Arabidopsis thaliana: one gene and its partners. The protein of the gene in region 1 interacts with the protein of each later gene in a pairwise test. Each region holds a gene or a part of one and is shown in the gene's direction. Other genes may lie near its edges. The genes, in order: AT4G21570, MAPR2, AT3G62560 and GB2.

Region 1 (5,481 bases):
CAGAATTACTATGAATAAGTTCATTATGGTGACAGCTATAATTTGGGAGGAGAAACAATCGTTCGGGATGTTGATCAGATTCATTTTGTCGTTGAGCATATATACTTCAACCTCATTGAAGGTAATAGATGAATCATTAGGATGCATTCCATCCAAGTCAACGGATATCATGTAATAATTAATTACAATAATGAGTCTATCTATATATGTGTGTTTTCAGTACATAAACTTTACATCTTCTTTTTCTTTTTAGGATCACTCACCCATAAAACTTTAATTCATATGAGCTGTCCGTATATATACGGTCCCCCGGTTAGTAAAGGATTTAATGTTTAAATTTTATTTTGTATCAAATACTATTTACTAATGCAATTTATCATTTATATTTATTTTTCTATCTCATTACCCGAGAGATTACTCTCAAATTTGTGGTAGACGTGTAAGTTTTATTTACAACATTTTATTATTATTTGTTGTTTTATGTTAACTTAATACTTTCTCTTTTCGTTTTCTATTTTCTAGTCATATGGAAAGGATGATATTTACAAATGCCAAAGTGGCAGCAGCGGTAGCAAATTATTTGCCCGATGTGCTTTTTATTTCACTTCGGAGGACTATCTCTCCATTTCGTCACATTAAGTACGTTTTGTTTCGTAAATTACTTATCAATTAAATTTATATATTAATTTGTTTACAATATTCTTGGAATGCCTTTACTCAGAGATATCATACGATATTTGATTTTGGGCACCGCCAAATCGGATTTTCTCTCGCCACTTCCAATTACGACGACCTGGACCACGAAGACGACGTAGACAACGAGGACGACGAGGACAGTGTGGACGACGTGGAAAGACTCGTTCACTCATCAACATTAAGCTTTGTTTTTTTCGGTAAGAACTAATTAAGCTTTTATTTTTTTCTTTGATAATGAGAACTAATTAAGCTTTTAAGACCTTTCATGAGTGTGTAATATTTTATGAAATATCTTTATAAGATTTAACTGCTATTTTTTGTGTTTGCGTTTTTATGCATTTGACGTTAATCACATAAATTGTTTGTACGGTTTCGTAACATTTCAAAATGCTTAACATTAGAATCTTGTTTCATCGATCTTTTATTATAGTAACAAGCGATTGTTTTTTTTGTTTTGAGTACATTTGAAAGTAACGGAAACTTAGTAAAACGAATTCACGAAGAGAAAATGAAAAGTGATTAAGTCATCTCCTCAACAAGCGATTGTTATAAAGTAATAAAATTATTTAGATGAATTGGTTGTTTTAAAATAAAAGGTTGAAAATGTTGAATAACTATTTATTTTATTTTTACGATTTGAAATGAATAGGTTGGAAAATTGATTCAACTCATTCAACAAAAAAAAAAGAAAAATGAACAAATTATAAAAGAAACTTGTTCAACCATTTCATCTACTCTTTTGTAGATGAATGAGTTGAATAATGTTCAACTTGGTTTTGCTGAAAATGGTTGCATAGAGATGAAATAATTGGAAATTTTGAGTTGAAAAATAAAAGTTGAATATTATTCAACTCATTTCTCTGTGAAATAGAAGATATACAAGTTGAAAAAATTTCTTTATAATTAGTTTATTTTTCCAACTTTTTAAGTTGAAAGGGTTGAATCATTTTTCCAACTTATTCATCTTAAATGGTAAAAAAAATAGATAAATGCTCATTCAACTCTTTCAACTTCTTAATTTTAGGCAACCATTTGCACCTATTTTTCCAATCATTCAACTATATGTCATTCATTTGGAGCAATTATATTTCTTAAATCTATATATTTATTTTTATTTCTGCTATAATTCAAACTGTCAAACCATTACCAATAAGATGTGGAGCTAATTCAACATAAGTATATAAAGTATATGAAATGTATAGATCTTTCCACTTATTTTCAAATGATTAAAATTGTACATGGTGTTAGAGCCCGAACAAACCCAAGATAAATGAGCATAAAGATGATCTCACTTCTAAAACCATTTTTGAACCACCATTTCTACTGCATTGCCATTTTTCTTACCGCCTTTTTTTTTTATTTTGATTTTCATAACCGCTAAAAAACTTTTCACCACATCATTATATTATTTGGTCCAACCAAACCAATGGTCCAAGATGGTGCCTTTTTTTTTTGGGCTCAAAGATACAAATCCTCTCTTTTGATTTCTTCTCTCAGCCCATGACGTGTAATGAATGAAGAAAAAATCAATAACTTACATCACAATCATATATCAATTTCATGAATCCTTGAAACCAAATACATACCATACCGACCTCTGTTTAAAAGACTTATCTTTTCTCCAACAAATGCGACAAAACCGTGTGGACGAATCAGAGAGACACATGTATACCAATGCCGACTTCTTTTTATGCAATCGTAGCGTCTCTCTCACGTGGTAAACGCGTCGCCATTTTTATAATACGACCACGTTTGTGACTCCATTAATGGCGGTCTCATGCTCCCTCAATTCTTCATGATCTAACTACTAAGAGATCTGATTCACTTTCTTCACACTCTCCGAGTCTCATCTTCGCTTCTTCCCTAGCTCTTATCTGGTTAGTTCCTCTCTTTCTCTCTCTCTGGTTAGCTAATTTTGCTTTGTTCAGATTTACAGAGATTTTGCTTATCTAGCTTTGAATCAGTCTTGGGAACATAGACAAAATCAGAATTCGACCTTTCAAATTAATGGGTCTGATTGGGTTTATCGAGTTCATCACCCGTTTTCCCAGTCATCTATAAAGTTTGAGTTTTTAATTCGGTTATATACTCTGTTTTGATACGGAGATATCTAATTGCTCCAACCATTTAGCTTTCTAGATCTCATGAGATGTTTGCTTTTCATTGTACAGTTTAAATTAATGTTAAGCTAAAGAGTGAATTTTGATGTGGAGCTATTTGGCTGAATATAATGCTGAAACATTTGTGAAGATTTAGATGTTTGATTGATTAGAATTCTTGTGCAAAGTCTGATGGCTTCTTGATGCTAAAGAGTTATGTGTATTAATTTTGATGCAGGACACAATGATGGACCTAACGAAACTGAAGCCTCCACAGATCACTTTTTATTGCTCGGCGTTTTCCGTCTTGCTCACACTTCATTTCACGATACAGCTTGTATCGCAGCATCTCTTCCACTGGAAGAACCCTAAGGAACAAAAGGCTATACTCATCATTGTGCTTATGGCTCCTATCTACGCCGTTGTTTCCTTTATTGGTTTGTTAGAAGTCAAAGGAAGTGAAACCTTCTTCCTCTTTCTTGAATCCATCAAAGAATGCTACGAAGCTCTTGTGAGTATATTGTTTTATCGCTTGTGTTAGTATACAACATATTGTAGAGACGACACTTACCAATTTTTTTCGATATTTTGCAGGTCATTGCCAAATTCTTGGCATTGATGTATAGTTATCTAAACATATCTATGAGCAAAAACATTTTGCCTGATGGAATCAAAGGAAGAGAGATTCACCATTCTTTCCCAATGACTCTTTTTCAGGTTCGTCTCTATCTTCATTGCATGATTTCATCTAATATCTATTTGCTTCTTTACCCTTAAAAGCTTTGTGTCTATTGTTTTGACAGCCTCATGTAGTCCGTTTGGATCGTCACACTCTTAAACTTTTGAAATACTGGACATGGCAATTTGTGGTCATTCGACCCGTGTGCTCCACTTTGATGATAGCTTTACAGCTCATCGGGTTTTATCCTTCATGGTTGAGCTGGACATTCACTATCATTGTCAATTTCTCGGTTTCTCTGGCCTTGTATTCTCTTGTGATATTCTACCATGTGTTTGCTAAGGAGCTTGCTCCTCATAATCCACTCGCAAAGTTCCTCTGCATCAAAGGAATTGTCTTCTTTGTCTTTTGGCAGGTAATGTTTGCATTAATCAGTAAACCCCTCAAAACAAGATTTCTCATGTTTGGATATACTCATAAGATTCTTTTGATTCTGAAACTGCAGGGAATAGCACTAGACATACTGGTGGCAATGGGATTCATAAAATCTCACCATTTCTGGTTGGAGGTAGAACAAATCCAAGAAGCAATTCAGAATGTGTTGGTATGTCTTGAGATGGTTATCTTCGCTGCGGTTCAGAAACACGCTTATCATGCTGGTCCTTATAGCGGCGAGACCAAGAAGAAACTCGATAAAAAGACCGAATGATTTGGGCGTTAGAGTGGACATGGACTGGTTTTAAACCAGCCATTTTTATAGCCAATCTTTGGTGATCTTGTATGTTGTTATGTTGAGGAGAAAGATCTAAAGGTTTTGCTTTACAACTTTTGGTTTCCATGATTGGGGAAAAAAGAAACAATAAAGTTGAAAATTTAGATGATATGAACAATAATGTTAAAGCCACTACACTTTTCATCAAAAGAAGTAAAGAACACTACTCATATTAATATCTTTCCCGTATGCATGAAATGAAACTTTTTCACCATTGTTACTCTAGTCTTTGTTCAATTGTTGTAAAATCAGTTCAAATACTCAAATTCTTCTTACTTCTGTGACAAAATAAAACACTCGTTCTCATTGAGTAGTAAAATTCGAAAGTAATGTTGTTGAAATCTTAAAAAAAATCATCAAATTATTTTTCATGATTCTATCGTTCTGAATTTGTAACCAATCAAAAGCTCATTTATGTATGAAAATATTAAAATAATTTATTTGTGAAGATAAAAATTGGAGTAATGTATTAATTGAAGGAGGGTAAAAAAGTCGCACGTAATATACGGGAAAAGGCGTGCGAAAGGACTAAACACAAAAAGTCTCTGGATTGAATTGGTTTGGCTCTCTGCTCGAACGATTCTCTCTGATAACCCGATTGTCAACTCCACAGCCCACAGGTCAGATTATTTCCGATTTAGGGTTAATCGAGTTCTCGTTTTTCGAAATCGATCAAATTTATATTTAATTTAATTTGCGCGAGAATCGATGGTGATTGATTTGTTGTTGATCCAGACAGAGACAGAGTTCGTTGCCTTGCCTCCGTGTTGTTTTGTTCATACCGCGTGAAAAGCTTTCATCATCAATTCATCATCATAAAGAGGTGTCGTGTGAGCACACGCAATCTCCCAATCTCTCTTCTCTCTCTCTCTCTCCAATCTCCATATCTTTGTCCTCTATAATCCGGAGAAGTAGCTCTACCATCGAAATCTCCCAACTTGCTTCCTTGTGAGTTTCTCTCTCACTTCATAAATTATGGTTTTTGCTTCAGTAGAACGTAGAAATTTGGTATTTTGATTGTTGGGTTTCAATGATTTAGGGTAAAGATTCATTGGGTTTTCTCCATTTCTAGCTTTAGTGATTATGATCATGATTTCATATCATCCTCTCTCTCGGTTTTTGTTCATCAATGTCTTCTGGTTCTTGAGATAACCTCCTAAGCTTTTTGGTTTAATGATTCCTCTTTTCTATCTTCTATGATCACCTGCATTTCTCTTGTTTTGGTTAGATGTTAA
Region 2 (3,795 bases), on another chromosome or scaffold:
CCCATCTAAGCAACGGAATCTCATCCGCGTTAACAGCGTTCCCAAAACGCTCAGCGATGGTGATGATTGACTCATACGCCCAAGCCTGCAACACGAAAACCAGACCACTGACAGTGTACGTCTTGCCAATAGGCCTCAGCAACTTTATAGAAACGACAAGGGCTTCATATGCTGCCCGACCCCATGGATAAGTCTTCATGGCTTCGTCGTCGAAAACTCTTTTGGCACTCTCAAATGGTATCCTAGAGTTAGTATGCAAGCCAAAAAGTCCAATGGATAGAAGAGTCAATAACCCAAACCATCTACGTTTTTCAGTAGGCCAAGCTCTGCACGTTACTAAGCCCTGCCTAAGTTCATCTAGATTAGGACCTTCACCGGTTGGCACACGCAATTCACTGAAGAACGCTTTGTAGTCAGCTTCAGGCTCAAACTTTTCTGTAGGCAGATCATCTATATTTAAACCAGTGATATGATGAAATTCGTTCAATCCAAACCGGATGGGTTTACCAGCCACGATACACCAAAGCTCCTTCTTCAGTATTCTCAGCTGTCTGCATAGTAGATAATGTACGGTCTTACCAGACCAGAGAAAATGACTATCAACAAGCTTAGCAATTAATCCAAGCTCTGTCTCTTTCAGTTCTGCCCATATTTCTTCTCCTATTGATTCTCTAATTGCAGGGAACTCTCCCAGCTTTATATTATGATTAATGCCTTTACCCTCCAGATTAGAATCCCCCTCTTGGTAAAGTCTTGGAGGGTACTCCCTTGCTTGGTCTTCAGACATCTGTATAACCATAAATCAGCCGTAAGCATTCCATAACTCAGTCATAACATAAAACAAACTCATCCACAGATACCATAACTCAGGCAAAACATAAATCTAACTCAGCCATAGATAACATAACTCAGTCATAACATAAACCTATCTCAGCCATAGATAACATAACTCAGTCATAACATAAACCTATCTCAGCCACACATAACATAACTCAGCCATAAGATAAATCTAACTCAGCCATATTTTAACAGAAACTCAGTCAAACCATAACATAACAACAGCTCAGTTAAAACATAAACCAGACTCAGCTATATCAAAACAGAAACTCAGCCATAACATAAACAAACTCAGCCGTCATATAACAGAAACTCAGACATCGATGTAAGGTTAAACCATAACTCAGTCACAGCATAAAAAAAACTCAGACACGGATGAATTGATAAATCATAAATCAGTCGGCAAACAAACAGTAACTCAGCCGTCAAATCAAATAGATCTAAGAAATCGGCCACCATATGTCAATCAACGTCGACGTTAAAACCCAGCTTTAAAAACCATCGTTACGCATCGGAAAACGATTTCAGTGACGGGAATCACTTGAGATTGAACTTAGATGTCAGAGTCTTACTTCATTGAAAGATACTCACCGGAACTTAGATGTCGAATGTGACTTCGCGCTTACGTAAATGCGACTCCGGCGTCTGAATTTCGGCCGGAACAGACGAGAAAAGAGCAAAACGGCGAAAGAAATCGATTTCGTTCCGTCGAGAGAGAAAGTGGAAGAAAGCGACAGTTTTTTTTTTTTTTGGGAGATGATGAACAGTAAAGCTAAGAAATAAGAAACCCAAACGTTATGGAGTTTGGAGATAATTAATGACGTGGATTATGGTAATGACATGGAATAATGACATGTATAATCACTGTTTTTTCATTTAATTTTTAGTTAAAAACGAATTAAATAATAATAATTAATTAAAACTAATTAGGGGTGTTAATTGTAATTACACAATAACTGAAAACATCTGAGTAATAAAAAAAAGATGTGTTCTACTGTAGGAATAAACATACAAATGTGTTCTATCTTAGGAATTAGTTCAAATTAAATTGTCTTTTCCCAAAGCCGTCCTTTAAACCCGACGAAGTTGTTTAAGCAGCTTAAATTAAGCTCCTTGAAAGATTAAGCATTTCTGGAATTTTTATCGACTTTAATTAGAGAAAAATAAAATATTTTTTGATATTCCTTGTAAAAATCTGAAGAATAAAGTTTACTCCACTTATTACCGACACAAAAAAAGTTGTTCCACTTATTAAAAAAAAGTTATTCAGTTATAATTTTTTTAAAAAAATCCTCTGTTATATATCTCTCACTATCTTTTATTTGGTTCTTTCCAGAAACAATTGATCAGAGCTTTAAAGAAAAAGATGGAATTCACCGCAGAGCAGCTAAGCCAATACAACGGCACCGACGAATCAAAGCCGATCTACGTCGCAATCAAAGGCCGTGTGTTCGATGTCACCACCGGAAAATCCTTCTACGGCTCCGGAGGCGATTACTCGATGTTCGCCGGAAAAGACGCGAGCAGAGCTTTGGGTAAGATGAGTAAGAACGAAGAAGATGTGTCTCCTTCTCTTGAAGGTCTCACTGAGAAAGAGATCAATACTCTTAATGATTGGGAGACCAAATTTGAAGCTAAGTATCCTGTCGTTGGCCGTGTTGTCTCTTAGGTCTCTCTTCTGAGATTGCACTATGTTATGTAACTATTGTGTGTGAGGATCTTTGTGTTGTGTGTTTTCTGATTTCGTGTTTGGATCTGATCGTTTTGATACAATTACCATAAGTACCAAATTATCTATGAAATAAATCGGGGATTTCGTGTTCTCAGTGGTCTTCATATTCTGATCTTAAGGTTACTTTGTTGTGCTTACCAAAAAAAAAAGGTTACTTTGTTGTGATGATTAGGATTTTAGGAGTTTTAAGTCTCATATGTATTTGATGAGAGGATATAAAGATTGGTTTGTGTCTTTCATATCTTGCAAATACTTGGAGCTAATTGTGTCTGGTGAAAGAAAAACTGATGGTTTCTGAAATCTGAGCAACACCAAACTTACTGGTAGTTTTGGATTCGGTGTAAATTATCTTACAAGTTCCAAGTTGTTGTTAATTTTAGTCTTTTGCGTTATGAGATTTGGAAGAATATAGTTATGATGAACATTCAGAATTCATAGAAGCTAATGTGTGTCTTCTTTGATTCTTTCTTACTTCTCCCGGTCTAAATTATTATCATCACTTGTATGACTTCGGCCCTGTTCGGCATGGCGTTCTTGCGACTAATATGTTGCTTTAACGCCAAGTCTTAGGTTTGAGGGAGAGCTGTTCATGGGTAGAGTTGTTCTTGGCTCGAGTTGACTTGTGTCGTGTGTAGTGGCTGTGGCCTATAGCTATGCTTGTTTATCAAGAGAGAGGCATCCTAACTTAGATATTATTTTGACATTTTAAATAAAAAAATGCACAAACCACCACCTCCAAGAACTAGCTACCTTGCTGGATTTGAACCAAACCTAGAACATAAATGAGGAGACGTGGAGGGGTAGGAGATTCGGCACCATGTTGATCCTCAGGTAGGTATTTATCCTTTCCCACAATTTGTAAAACGTTGTTGGAGAACCCGGGGTGATTACAAGACACTACAACTTTGTTCTCTATGTCGACTAAGAAACTCAACCCAAAACATAACCCTAAATGATAGCGGTCATCAAATTTCGACACTGTCAGGAACTTGCTCTATGAAATGGCTTCGTACTCTCCATCTTATTCGCTATCCATACCTCAGAGCTCTGAGCAGCAAATATACAAAGTTGTTGCGCTTCTCTAGTCATTGACAAAGTCGCAAAACAATAAGAACGAGGCGATCTTAAATATTAACCAAAGAGAGTTCGCCCTAGGTCTTCTCTCCCGGGCACGATCTCCGAGGAAGCCGCCCCTCCATGCTCCAAGACAAGATGGACCTCCGCCG
Region 3 (5,209 bases), on another chromosome or scaffold:
TTCTTCCGGATTAGTACTTGATTCAACACAACTGACCCCAGTTTCTTCATCATTATCGCATTCAGATTCAACTTCTTCATCACATCCATCACTAACATTAGAACTACCACTAGAGAAACCTCTACACCCAAGACTCGCATCAAGCAGTTGTACAGAGGAGTGTGGCAATGGAATTTGACGGTAAGGATGATAAGTAGAAGAATGAATCATACGAGAGAAGAGAGCACCGGAAAATCGTACTTCCTCTTCTCCTCTCCCGCCGATTACGCGGCTTTGACTGGAAATGAATTCATCGGCATCGAATGAAGAAGAGCAAATGAGGAATCTTCTTAATGAAGTCTGAGTGGAGCTTCTTCTCCTAGAGAGATAGAGCCATGGAGCAGCAGCCATGGAAGCTCGACGGCGATTAGCAATGGCGAAGTCGGTGAAAAGCCACTGATTTACGGCGGAGAGCTCTTCACGTATTTGGGCCTTTGTTTGATTAGAAGCTTTGAGTGATAATAATTTTGACCCATTAAAGGCCCATTGATCTGGTCACATATAACCATTGGGTCCACCAGGAGCATTAAAGCTCAAACGCATAAAGAATTTTTATTTTTTAGTTGGAAGGTATCTGTATGCATCTTATCTTCGTTTTAGGGTCGTGATATTTTCTCAAGTTTTTCTTAGGGGACCAATTTATTTTTAGATTTATTTGATTCTATCTTACATTTCTCTTAGTTCACGTTGTCTTTGTATACGTGTTTATGGATATTACATAACTGAAAATCAAGATCAGTCAATCAGTGTAACATCAATCATCAATAACCCTGCGGGATGTATATAAAACTAAGGGATATATGAGGAAAATCAGATTCCAGATTAAGTTCATAAATATTGATTCACCTAAAATCTATAATAACATAGTAGTTCAGAAGCATGAAATAATTCTATAAAAAATCATGAATTATCTACATAAAAATATCGCATATTGTAGATAAGAGTCACCCCTGAAAGAAAAACGATAGTTTTCTGTATTTGGTTATCAATCAATCCTATGTGGGTTTATATCTTATCTAATGTAAAAATTACACAAAGGATAGTGTCTGCAAATATCTAAATGAAAACACTTAATTCCAAAATGAGAAATCAAGTGGGTTTTGCCTAGCTAATTGTATAAATAGTAACACAATCATAATCTCTTCTTCCATCAGGTCTTCTTCATAATATATTTCTTCTCTAATAATTGAAAGCAAAAGAAAACAGTTTTTTTTTTTAGAAAGGTAAAGAAATGGAGGAAACAAAGGAGAGAAAGATAGTAGTAGCAGTAGACGAAAGCGAAGAGAGCATGGAAGCTCTGTCATGGAGTCTTGACAATCTTTTTCCATATGGTTCCAATAATACACTCATCCTCCTCTACGTCAAGCCCCCTCTTCCCGTTTACTCTTCCCTCGATGCCGCAGGTTAGTCCTCGTTCTTTCACGATTCATATCTTTCCCTAATTATAATCTGTTCACTTTAGTTATAGATTTTTGTTTGGTCGATTTCCAGGGTTTATAGTGACAGGAGACCCGGTTGCAGCTTTGAAGAAGTATGAATACGAGCTCGTGGAATCGGTCATGGCTCGGTCTCGAACCGTGTACCAAGATTATGAGTCTGATGTAAGCTTATTTCTATCGATTTTTTATCACTTAATTTGCTGGATTATACTTGCTTAAAAAACTTGAGAAATTATGAGAAAGTGAATTTAATCAAGTAGTTATGAGTTAATCTGTTTATCATGAGCAATATTTAGTACAAAAAATATAACATATGATAAGCAAAATATGGTTGTTTTCAAAGAGAGTTGGCGAAATAAATGTAAATATAACCAAATTAATGTGCAGATTAATATAGAGAGACGAGTTGGAAGAGGAGATGCTAAGGAAGTTATATGCAACGCAGTTCAGAAACTTAGAGTTGATATGTTAGTAATGGGCACTCATGACTATGGCTTCTTCAAAAGGTAAGGTTTCAATCTCTTATAAGAAACAAAAATATTTTGGTTTAATGGTTATTTGATAATCATTTGATATATTTGATAGGGCTTTGCTAGGGAGTGTGAGCGAGTATTGCGCCAAACGAGTCAAGTGTCCTGTGGTTATCGTCAAGAAGCAAGCTCAAGATAATTAAGCTCATATGATTGCATTGTGTATATGTTTCGAAAGAACTGGTGTAACACTTGAATCAATCTTCGTATGCGATAATAAAATACATAACGGTTTAAACAAATTTAGCAGATATTTTTGCTTATATAAAACTAGCTGACAATGACATCAATCAACCAATTAAATTCAAATCTACATTCTCTACATACAATGCCAAATTAAAAACTAATGTAAACGCAAATTTCAATTTAACGTATAGAAGAATGTAATGAACCATATACCAAGTTTTGAATATTTGCAATTTTGTTGTTTGAACACTTAATTGTTGTTCGCTTCAAAGTTCAATAAAGGCCTCAAGGCCCAAAGTATATCTGTTACTCATCCAGTCGACACAGTCATACTTAAACGTCGCCGTTTCCGTGTTCGAAGCTTCGTGAAAATCTTCAATCTCGCGAGAGAGAAGAAGAAGAAGAAGAAGAAGAAGAAGCGATGTTCCTGGTGGATTGGTTCTATGGAGTTCTGGCAACTCTGGGACTATGGCAGAAAGAAGCGAAGATTCTGTTTCTAGGTCTCGACAACGCCGGCAAAACCACCTTGCTTCACATGTTAAAGGACGAGGTTCGTTTTCTTCGAGCCATATCAGTAATCGCTGTCTAGAATCTTGTTTCTTTTACTTAGCGCGAACGAATCAAAGTCTTAATCAGCGATAATCGTTTGATTTGGGTTTCAGAGACTGGTCCAGCATCAGCCGACACAGCATCCGACATCGGAAGAGCTTAGTATCGGCAAAATCAAGTTCAAAGCCTTCGATTTGGGAGGTCATCAGATTGCTCGTAGAGTCTGGAAGGACTATTACGCTAAGGTTTGATCTTCTTTCTTCTTTGGATTTTATTGTTAGGTCAATCAATTTAGCAAGTCTTTGGAAGGACTATTGCGCTCGTATAGTTGTATGTAGACTCTAAGCTGACTCTGTTATAGATTACAATCTTCCCTGTGCCCATATAAACAATAGTTAGATGATAGAGGTGAAGTGAAATCTTCAATGAAGTTTGTCATATAGCAATTCTCTTTTGAATGTTGCAGCATGAGGTCCTGTGATTACATTCTGCTGGTTATGTGTACCTAGTAAGCTCTTGCTGTGTACTACTCCTACTCTGTTCCTTAGCCACTGTGTTGCTCCGTTGGGTTATATAAGTTTGCAGATGATAGTTTGAAATGATTGAGCTATAGTAAAATCTTCAGATGATAGATATACATATACATCATATACTGTAGTTTAAAATGACATTGTGATTGGTATGTGGAGCCAGTGGAGGTTGAAAATTAGAAGATTGTATAGCTATAGACTACTCTTACTGTCAGTTTTAGAGTCATGAGGTCCCTTGTGATTTACATTCTCATAGCTGATGATTCCAGTGAATCAAGAGATTAATAGACTCCGGTGTTTCTATTAGCTACCCTCTTTGCATTCTATCTTCAAGTTTGTAACTTTATTATTGTCTCGTATTAGGTTGATGCAGTGGTATACCTAGTTGATGCATATGACAAAGAGAGGTTTGCAGAATCAAAGAAAGAGCTTGACGCTCTTCTCTCTGATGAATCCCTAGCAAATGTCCCTTTCCTCATCCTTGGAAACAAAATCGACATTCCGTACGCTGCATCAGAAGACGAGCTGCGTTATCATCTAGGCCTCACCAGTTTCACCACTGGGAAAGGTAAAGTGAATCTAGCAGGAACAAATGTTCGTCCTCTTGAGGTGTTCATGTGCAGCATTGTCAGAAAGATGGGTTACGGCGAAGGATTTAAATGGGTTTCTCAATATATCGACTAGATCAATCATATTTAAGTCTTATCTATCTATACTGTGTGATTGGTATCTGTACGTGTTATAACCTAATGTATAATTACGATTAATGTGTGTATACAACAAGATTTGACGGCTTTTAAATTATCAATTTTGTGTTTACAGACCAAAGTTGAATCCTATGAAAAGTGTGAACCCATTTGTCTGTGACTGTGTAACTGTGTGGGGCTTAAGAAATGGCTGTATCTTAGCTTTTTTATGAAAATTCGAAAGATGAACACTTTTACTTTAATAATGTAATGTAGAGAAAACCCCATGTGAATCGAGTTTGACAATTAACAATCACAATGTCCTACACTGAAAACCAATCAATTTGACACATAGATGTACCATAATGAGTGTACGTATATTGTTTTACATGTGTTATGTCTCTTTGTGAACTTATCATTATGTCTGTTTTTCTTCTTTCTAGGTATTGTGAAATGAACACAAACAGATCTATGGATAACCATGTATTTATTTTCATTAAAATATGTGAACAATAATACTCCAAAATAGTTCACAAAATAAGTAAAAAAATTTGCTTTTTAGCACCATCACAATGCGTCTTTGATCTCAGCCGCTTCCAAACGTTCAAGTCGCAGCGTAATAAGGCTAATAGATTAGATTTTGCGACTCAAGATTTTGCAGCTCAAGCATATATATGTCTACGGACTATGCAAATATGGATGTGTAAGAAAACTATTAGGTGCTCACTTTCTCTTTTTATAACTTTTTCAGAACATTTCTCCTTTGGACTGATTCTTCTCTACGTGGCCCAAAGTTAATATCAAAAGTTTTTTTTTAACGTATTATTTCTATCATTTGTTATTAATTTTTTCTCCTTTGGATTGATTCCTTGTTACAGTTTTTGCTCTTCTTTTTACTATGCTGTTTCTTTTTTATATTCGCCACTAGCTAGAGACTGGTTCTATGTCCCAGGACCCATGAAATACCAAGCACGAAAATGTGACCAAATGAATAATTTGATTTAAGTTTTTTGCTTGAATGAGAAAAGTTTTTTTTATATATAAAAAAATGTCAAAATATTAAAACTCATTCGATTGATTGCGTGGAGAAGAGAAAAATAAATTTAGAAGAAGTATTAACTTGGTTTTTGGGGTAAAGGGATGCACATGGATCCCTCATTCCCACGTGATATCTAAGCCAAGAACACGTGCCTCCCTCTGAGCTATCTGACTTTTATGTGATTGGTTTCAGTTTTTAGTTCAAAACCCAA
Region 4 (5,488 bases), 5.5 Mb from region 1:
ACCCACAAAGAACACACACAGAACACTAGTCCGTTATCTCCAACATTCTCATACTCATCCGGTAGAAGCCTAGAGTCCATCTTGGCAACTAACCAAGTAATCTCATCTCGAACACGAACCAACTCTGTAGCAAGATCATCCAAAGCACACAAATCCATGGGAACAATAAACTTATAAACTTTCCCAGGGTACTTCAGCCTAAAGCAATCTTCAAACTCAACTCTATCAGACCCTAAATTCTTAGGCAAACCCTGCACCATTATAGTAAACACAGCAGTAGAATTCGCGTTCGGGTCACTGATATTCCCATTCCCATCTCTAAACCTAGTAAACTTCAACCTAGCTTCAATAGCAGCGATTCCAAAATGCGAGATAACAACAACAATAACAACAAACACAAAATGCAGCCAAAGCAAAGCTGAACCTTTCTGAATATGCGTAATCATCGTTTTCGAAAGCTCATCACTCAACAAAGCAGTCCCAGCATATAAATTCAACGGAAGCATAACCGAAACAGCTAAAACAGCAATGGAGAAAAGAAGCACAAAGCTTCCACCTTCAATTAAAAGAAACTGAGCAGCATCAGCACCACAGTGACGAGCGATCTCGCGACACGTGGCTTTCCAAACGGCGAGGAGCTTAGAGAAGAGAGCAGAAGGACCAGGCATACGACGGTGGTCGCTGCGTAGCTTAACGAAGAGAAAGATGGAGACGCAGCATAAGAGACCAATGACCGAGATATTAAGCAGATACTGAATGTTGCCGTACCAAGCATCTGGGATTTCAGGTAAGTCGCCGGAAGATGGAGGAGGAGAGAATGAATTATCTATTGTCATTGATGAAATCGGTGGCATCGCAGCTGGTGAAAAATTGCGATTCATCGCGAATTTCTCAACCAAATTGAGAAACCCAAATCTTCGAAGTTTCTTCAGAGATTCAGGATTTATACAACAAGGTTTTGATCAGGAGAAATTTGGGGGCTTTAGGGTTAGACTTTGGGGGAAGTAGATCGACGAAGATGATGGCAAAAGTAGAAAGGTAAATAGAAAAGGAGGAACAAGGAATGCTATCGCGGTTTCGAATCTCTCAAAAGATTCTTCTCCTTAAATCATGAAATTTAATCCCATCTTTTTAAGATAAATACACCCAAAAAAAACGAATTAACACAACTAAAAAATATAAATAATTTGATAGAAGTATATCAAATTGGTAATTTACAGAGTTTTTATGAATAAAACGATAGTTCTTTAAACGATAATTACATATTCTCTAAATATTTCGTGATTAGTAGAATAAGAGAATATAATCAAATTCATAACTCTTGTATATTCATTTTAATCAAATTCTCCTTAAAGCATGAAATTAATCAAATAATTTGAAGGTAAAATACCCAAAAAAATACGAAATAACATAACTAAGATCGGTTTGAGTTTGGGATGAAATAACATCCCCTGTTCTCTAATGGATGGAACTCTGTTTCGAATTTGCTTCTCGAATTTGCCATTGTAGACTATAAGCATTTGTAAGGAACTCATCTCTAATGTAGGATTTGAGTTCTTCTTATCTTCCCACTAGAACATTCATCTTAAACACAGTTATGTAATTTCCATAAGAGATATGAAACAGAGCATACTACCGTGATAATCCGGACACAATTGATATTAGTAGCCTTGTATCAAGGTACGTGTGTATTCCCCATCATATAATAAAAGAAGCTTTTGCTAATGCAAATTTCTGGTAAGTTCACAGTTTTGATGTGCAAGTTCTTTTGTATCATCAATTTAGCGATTATGGACTGCGCCATGCTTCAGATGAATAGAAAAAAGAAACTTATGCTGGTCTCGAAATCCACTAACCAAGCCATTCAACATCAAAGAAAAAAGCCCACATTATAAAAAAATAAAAAAGCCCACTTTAAACTATCAAATGCCCAACAATGGATGATGCACTAGTCGAGTCAGAGTGGACGGAGCCAAAGGCAGAGATGGATTTTAAGCTTTAATTTGTTTCCCAGATATTTTTCATCTGGTCCCTCTGTTTTTAAATAATTAACTAAAACGACTATAATAATTAATAAATTATACTATAGAGTATTTTGTGTGGATTTTTATTTACTGTTGAAACTTAAGGATACAAAAGAAAAACAATTATTCAGATAATTCGTCATTAGATCCCTTTAATTTTAGTAATTAAGTAAAAAGATTATAAAAGATGAGAAGGAGAAGATAGCTTCTTCATCGAGAAACCTCGAAATCAAAAAGCACGTCGGTGACTTGTACTCTTCAATCTCTTCTTCCTCTCTTTCACATCTCCTTCTCTCGAACCCATCGACCTGCGCTAATTCATCATCGACCTTGCTCAAATTCATCAACCATGTCTTACGATTATCTCTTCAAGTACATAATCATCGGAGACACAGGTGAGAGACCGATCTTTCACCTTTCTTAATTCCCAATTGTTTTATTTTTCTGGGTTAAATCCATTTCGTGCCGATTTTCATGTGTTTTCGTTGTTGTTTTTTTTGTCGTTTCAGGTGTGGGAAAATCGTGTCTGCTTCTGCAATTTACTGATAAGAGGTTCCAACCAGTCCACGATCTCACCATTGGTGTTGAGTTCGGTGCTCGGATGGTCACCGTCGATGGACGCCCCATCAAACTCCAAATTTGGGACACCGTACGCTTCCTCTCTCTTCTCTTGGTCGTAATTAGGTCATCAGGGAACTAATCACGTTTTATCGATTAGGATTGTTTTTTTTTTCTCCCTAAGGCAGGATGTGATTAAGAAGATTAATTGTCATAATCAATTCAATTTCTTCGTTTTTATATAAACAATGCCTCATTAGAATTGCCAATACCAAAAATTATGTTTGAAAATCATGTCCAGAGACTCAAAGTGGGGTAAAATTTCAAAAAAGTTAATCATTGCACGGTTCTTGATTAAGTTTCATAGGCTTATTGTAATAGAAGCTGAGTTCACCAGTGCATTCCTTGTTGTGATTTCTTCTGGTCAATAGTTCTTCCATTAGATGATGTATGTGTTGGAGTTGTGCTTTCTGATTAAAGTTTCGTATGATATTTTTTAGGCTGGACAAGAATCTTTTAGATCCATCACCAGATCATACTACAGAGGAGCAGCCGGAGCTTTACTGGTTTATGACATCACCAGGTTAGTTTTTGCCTTGCGACAATATATATCAGCTCGAACTTCTGAATTCCCCAGCAAGGTTTTGGAAGTGATTGGTTCTGTATTTGTGATTTGATAAACCTAGACTGTTGGAAAGGTTTTGGAAATTGGGAAGTTACTTTTATCTGAACAAAATCCTTGGCTATAATATTGGCAATGCTTGTTTGGGAGGATGTTAAGTTAACCATCCATCTTAAATTCTTGCTAAAATAGATATTTTTCCTCCATTGTTTTGGAATTTTGAAAGTTATGAAGGACATGAAGAATTGCAAGAGTTTTATCATTGAGGTTTTTCATGCTTTGATCTTTCTGAAGCTCAAAATTCTTGGTTCTTTGGGTTGCAGGAGAGAGACGTTTAACCATCTGGCAAGCTGGTTGGAGGATGCTCGGCAACATGCAAATCCTAACATGAGTATTATGCTGATTGGGAACAAATGTGATCTTGCTCACAAGAGAGCTGTTAGCAAAGAGGAAGGTCAACAGTTTGCCAAAGAACATGGCCTGCTATTCTTAGAAGCATCTGCAAGAACTGCTCAAAACGTTGAGGAGGTGACATTTCTTCCTTGCAACTCTTTTTCCCCATCCTGTTATTTGGCTGTAATCACATGGAGACTTTTGTCTTCTTTTTCTGGATTCCAACAGGCCTTCATAGAGACTGCTGCCAAGATCCTCCAGAACATTCAGGATGGTGTCTTTGATGTATCCAACGAGGTAATTTCCTTGTTGAATCTGGCAATATACTTAGTCTTCTGGTGTTCTCTAATCCCTCGATTGTGTTACAATGTGATTCAATTCCCTTGGTCTCTCTAAATTTTGCAGTCATCAGGTATCAAGATTGGTTACGGGCGTACTCAAGGTGCAGCTGGAGGAAGAGATGGTACGATCTCTCAGGGAGGTGGCTGTTGTGGTTAAAAAATCCTCGAGAGAGGTGTCACATATCTGCTGTAATCTGGTGATTCAGAAACTACTATTGCTTCTATTTACCTCTGCAAATGGATACACCAGAATGTATAGTTTCTCTTTCTTTCTTTCTTTTTTTCTCTTTTTCCCAGATTGTCTTTTATCAAAAAACCAAACGGGTGCATTTAAGAGTGAACAGGCTGATCTTTATAAACCAAACAGGCGTTGGCTTATTTAAAACGTTGTCGCTTTGTATGAAGCTCTCAAGGTTAAGTAATTGAAATCAAATCAGAATAATATCCAGTCATCATCTAGGTGAAATTTCCTTATTCATCTAAACGAACTGGTTTTAAAATACCCAGATGGTTCACAGAGATCCCAATAAGCAAATAGAAGTAGAAAACGAAGAAGCCATGATACCATCTTTCTTCCTCTTGGTCCCTTTGCTTTAACGCCTATTAGGTAATGTCCCTTCCCTAAGCCGCAAGTTATTGTATGTTCGCGTCACTAACATCAGTCTCGGATCATCCTCTGGTATTTCGCGTTCCTATGATTACCACACCACAAAAACCATCAATAACTAATACCAAGAGAAAGAAAGTTTGTGGTCAAATAAGAAAAAGGTTTTTTATTACTTTCAAGCCCTTGTAGTAAGCTTCAACAGCAGCTAGTGTTGGTAGAATATTCCGAGCTAGCATCAGATCCCATATCATATTTGCAACTGTGTACCCTCCCGTCTGCCATAAAGAAAATGTTTTTTTTTTTTTAACTTTCACTAAGCCAACTCTTTATATCAGTAAGATATTTCCAAAGTTTTTAGGGGAAGTTCAAGATTTTTACCTTTTCACCAGCGGCTTTGAGTAACAGATTGCTTCCAGTTCTTGGGTCTAAGAAGAAATTGCGTTCGTTCATTTGGATCTGCATTTACAAACAAATTGTCATCAGGCTCTACTATTGGCCCGTGTTTTGTTTACTTCATAGATTCTTTTTTTCAGTACAGCTCGAGCCAATAAGCATTACCAGAGTGTCCTGAGCAATCTTCATTCCATTATCGGTGTATCCTGTCATAGCTCCTTCTATAAGCGTCTGTAAAAATAAAACAAATAAATTGACATCTTCAGCATATACATATCACCCAAAGATATGTTGAACCAAGTATGGGAAACAGGACAGAAGCATAATTCTCTTCGACTAATGCGTTAGTTGAGAATTTAGATTTATTTGTATATACATTTGCGGGGTTTGACAATTGAGAATCAACAACTATAAGACATATATAGTAAAGAAGACGTTCACTCTCAAAGCAAATATAGAAAACACCAGTTATGAGGTCAGATCATTGTGTTACCGTGTATAGTTCCATGGCAGGGATTTTGTCTGCGCTCATGTAATCTTGAAACAGTTT

Evidence for each region.
Region 2: the proteins of AT4G21570 (region 1) and MAPR2 interact in a protein complementation assay, tested with the Arabidopsis thaliana proteins (one large-scale study listed by BioGRID).
Region 3: the proteins of AT4G21570 (region 1) and AT3G62560 interact in a protein complementation assay, tested with the Arabidopsis thaliana proteins (one large-scale study listed by BioGRID).
Region 4: the proteins of AT4G21570 (region 1) and GB2 interact in a protein complementation assay, tested with the Arabidopsis thaliana proteins (one large-scale study listed by BioGRID).

Annotation. Positions count from the first base shown.
Region 1 is NC_003075.7:11,469,828-11,475,308, reverse strand, and holds AT4G21570 (organic solute transporter ostalpha protein (DUF300)), read left to right. Parts: upstream 1-2,287; 5' UTR 2,288-2,573; intron 2,574-3,033; 5' UTR 3,034-3,039; coding exon 3,040-3,306; intron 3,307-3,389; coding exon 3,390-3,512; intron 3,513-3,598; coding exon 3,599-4,183; 3' UTR 4,184-4,474; downstream 4,475-5,481.
Region 2 is NC_003071.7:10,607,244-10,611,038, forward strand, and holds MAPR2 (membrane-associated progesterone binding protein 2), read left to right. Parts: upstream 1-2,173; 5' UTR 2,174-2,203; coding exon 2,204-2,506; 3' UTR 2,507-2,657; downstream 2,658-3,795.
Region 3 is NC_003074.8:23,134,924-23,140,132, forward strand, and holds AT3G62560 (Ras-related small GTP-binding family protein), read left to right. Parts: upstream 1-2,362; 5' UTR 2,363-2,615; coding exon 2,616-2,744; intron 2,745-2,856; coding exon 2,857-2,988; intron 2,989-3,636; coding exon 3,637-3,957; 3' UTR 3,958-4,222; downstream 4,223-5,209. Other genes in the region: AT3G62540 (Pentatricopeptide repeat (PPR) superfamily protein), read right to left, coding at 1-390; AT3G62550 (Adenine nucleotide alpha hydrolases-like superfamily protein), read left to right, coding at 1,271-1,442, 1,531-1,640, 1,866-1,984, 2,064-2,151.
Region 4 is NC_003075.7:16,985,725-16,991,212, reverse strand, and holds GB2 (GTP-binding 2), read left to right. Parts: upstream 1-2,165; 5' UTR 2,166-2,373; coding exon 2,374-2,419; exon of another isoform or gene 2,420-2,533; coding exon 2,534-2,673; intron 2,674-3,082; coding exon 3,083-3,165; intron 3,166-3,527; coding exon 3,528-3,732; intron 3,733-3,825; coding exon 3,826-3,894; intron 3,895-4,002; coding exon 4,003-4,095; 3' UTR 4,096-4,373; downstream 4,374-5,488. Other genes in the region: AT4G35870 (early-responsive to dehydration stress protein (ERD4)), read right to left, coding at 1-881; AT4G35850 (Pentatricopeptide repeat (PPR) superfamily protein), read right to left, coding at 4,532-4,630, 4,719-4,820, 4,924-5,001, 5,104-5,169, 5,432-5,488. UniProt on the Arabidopsis thaliana protein: Intracellular vesicle trafficking and protein transport.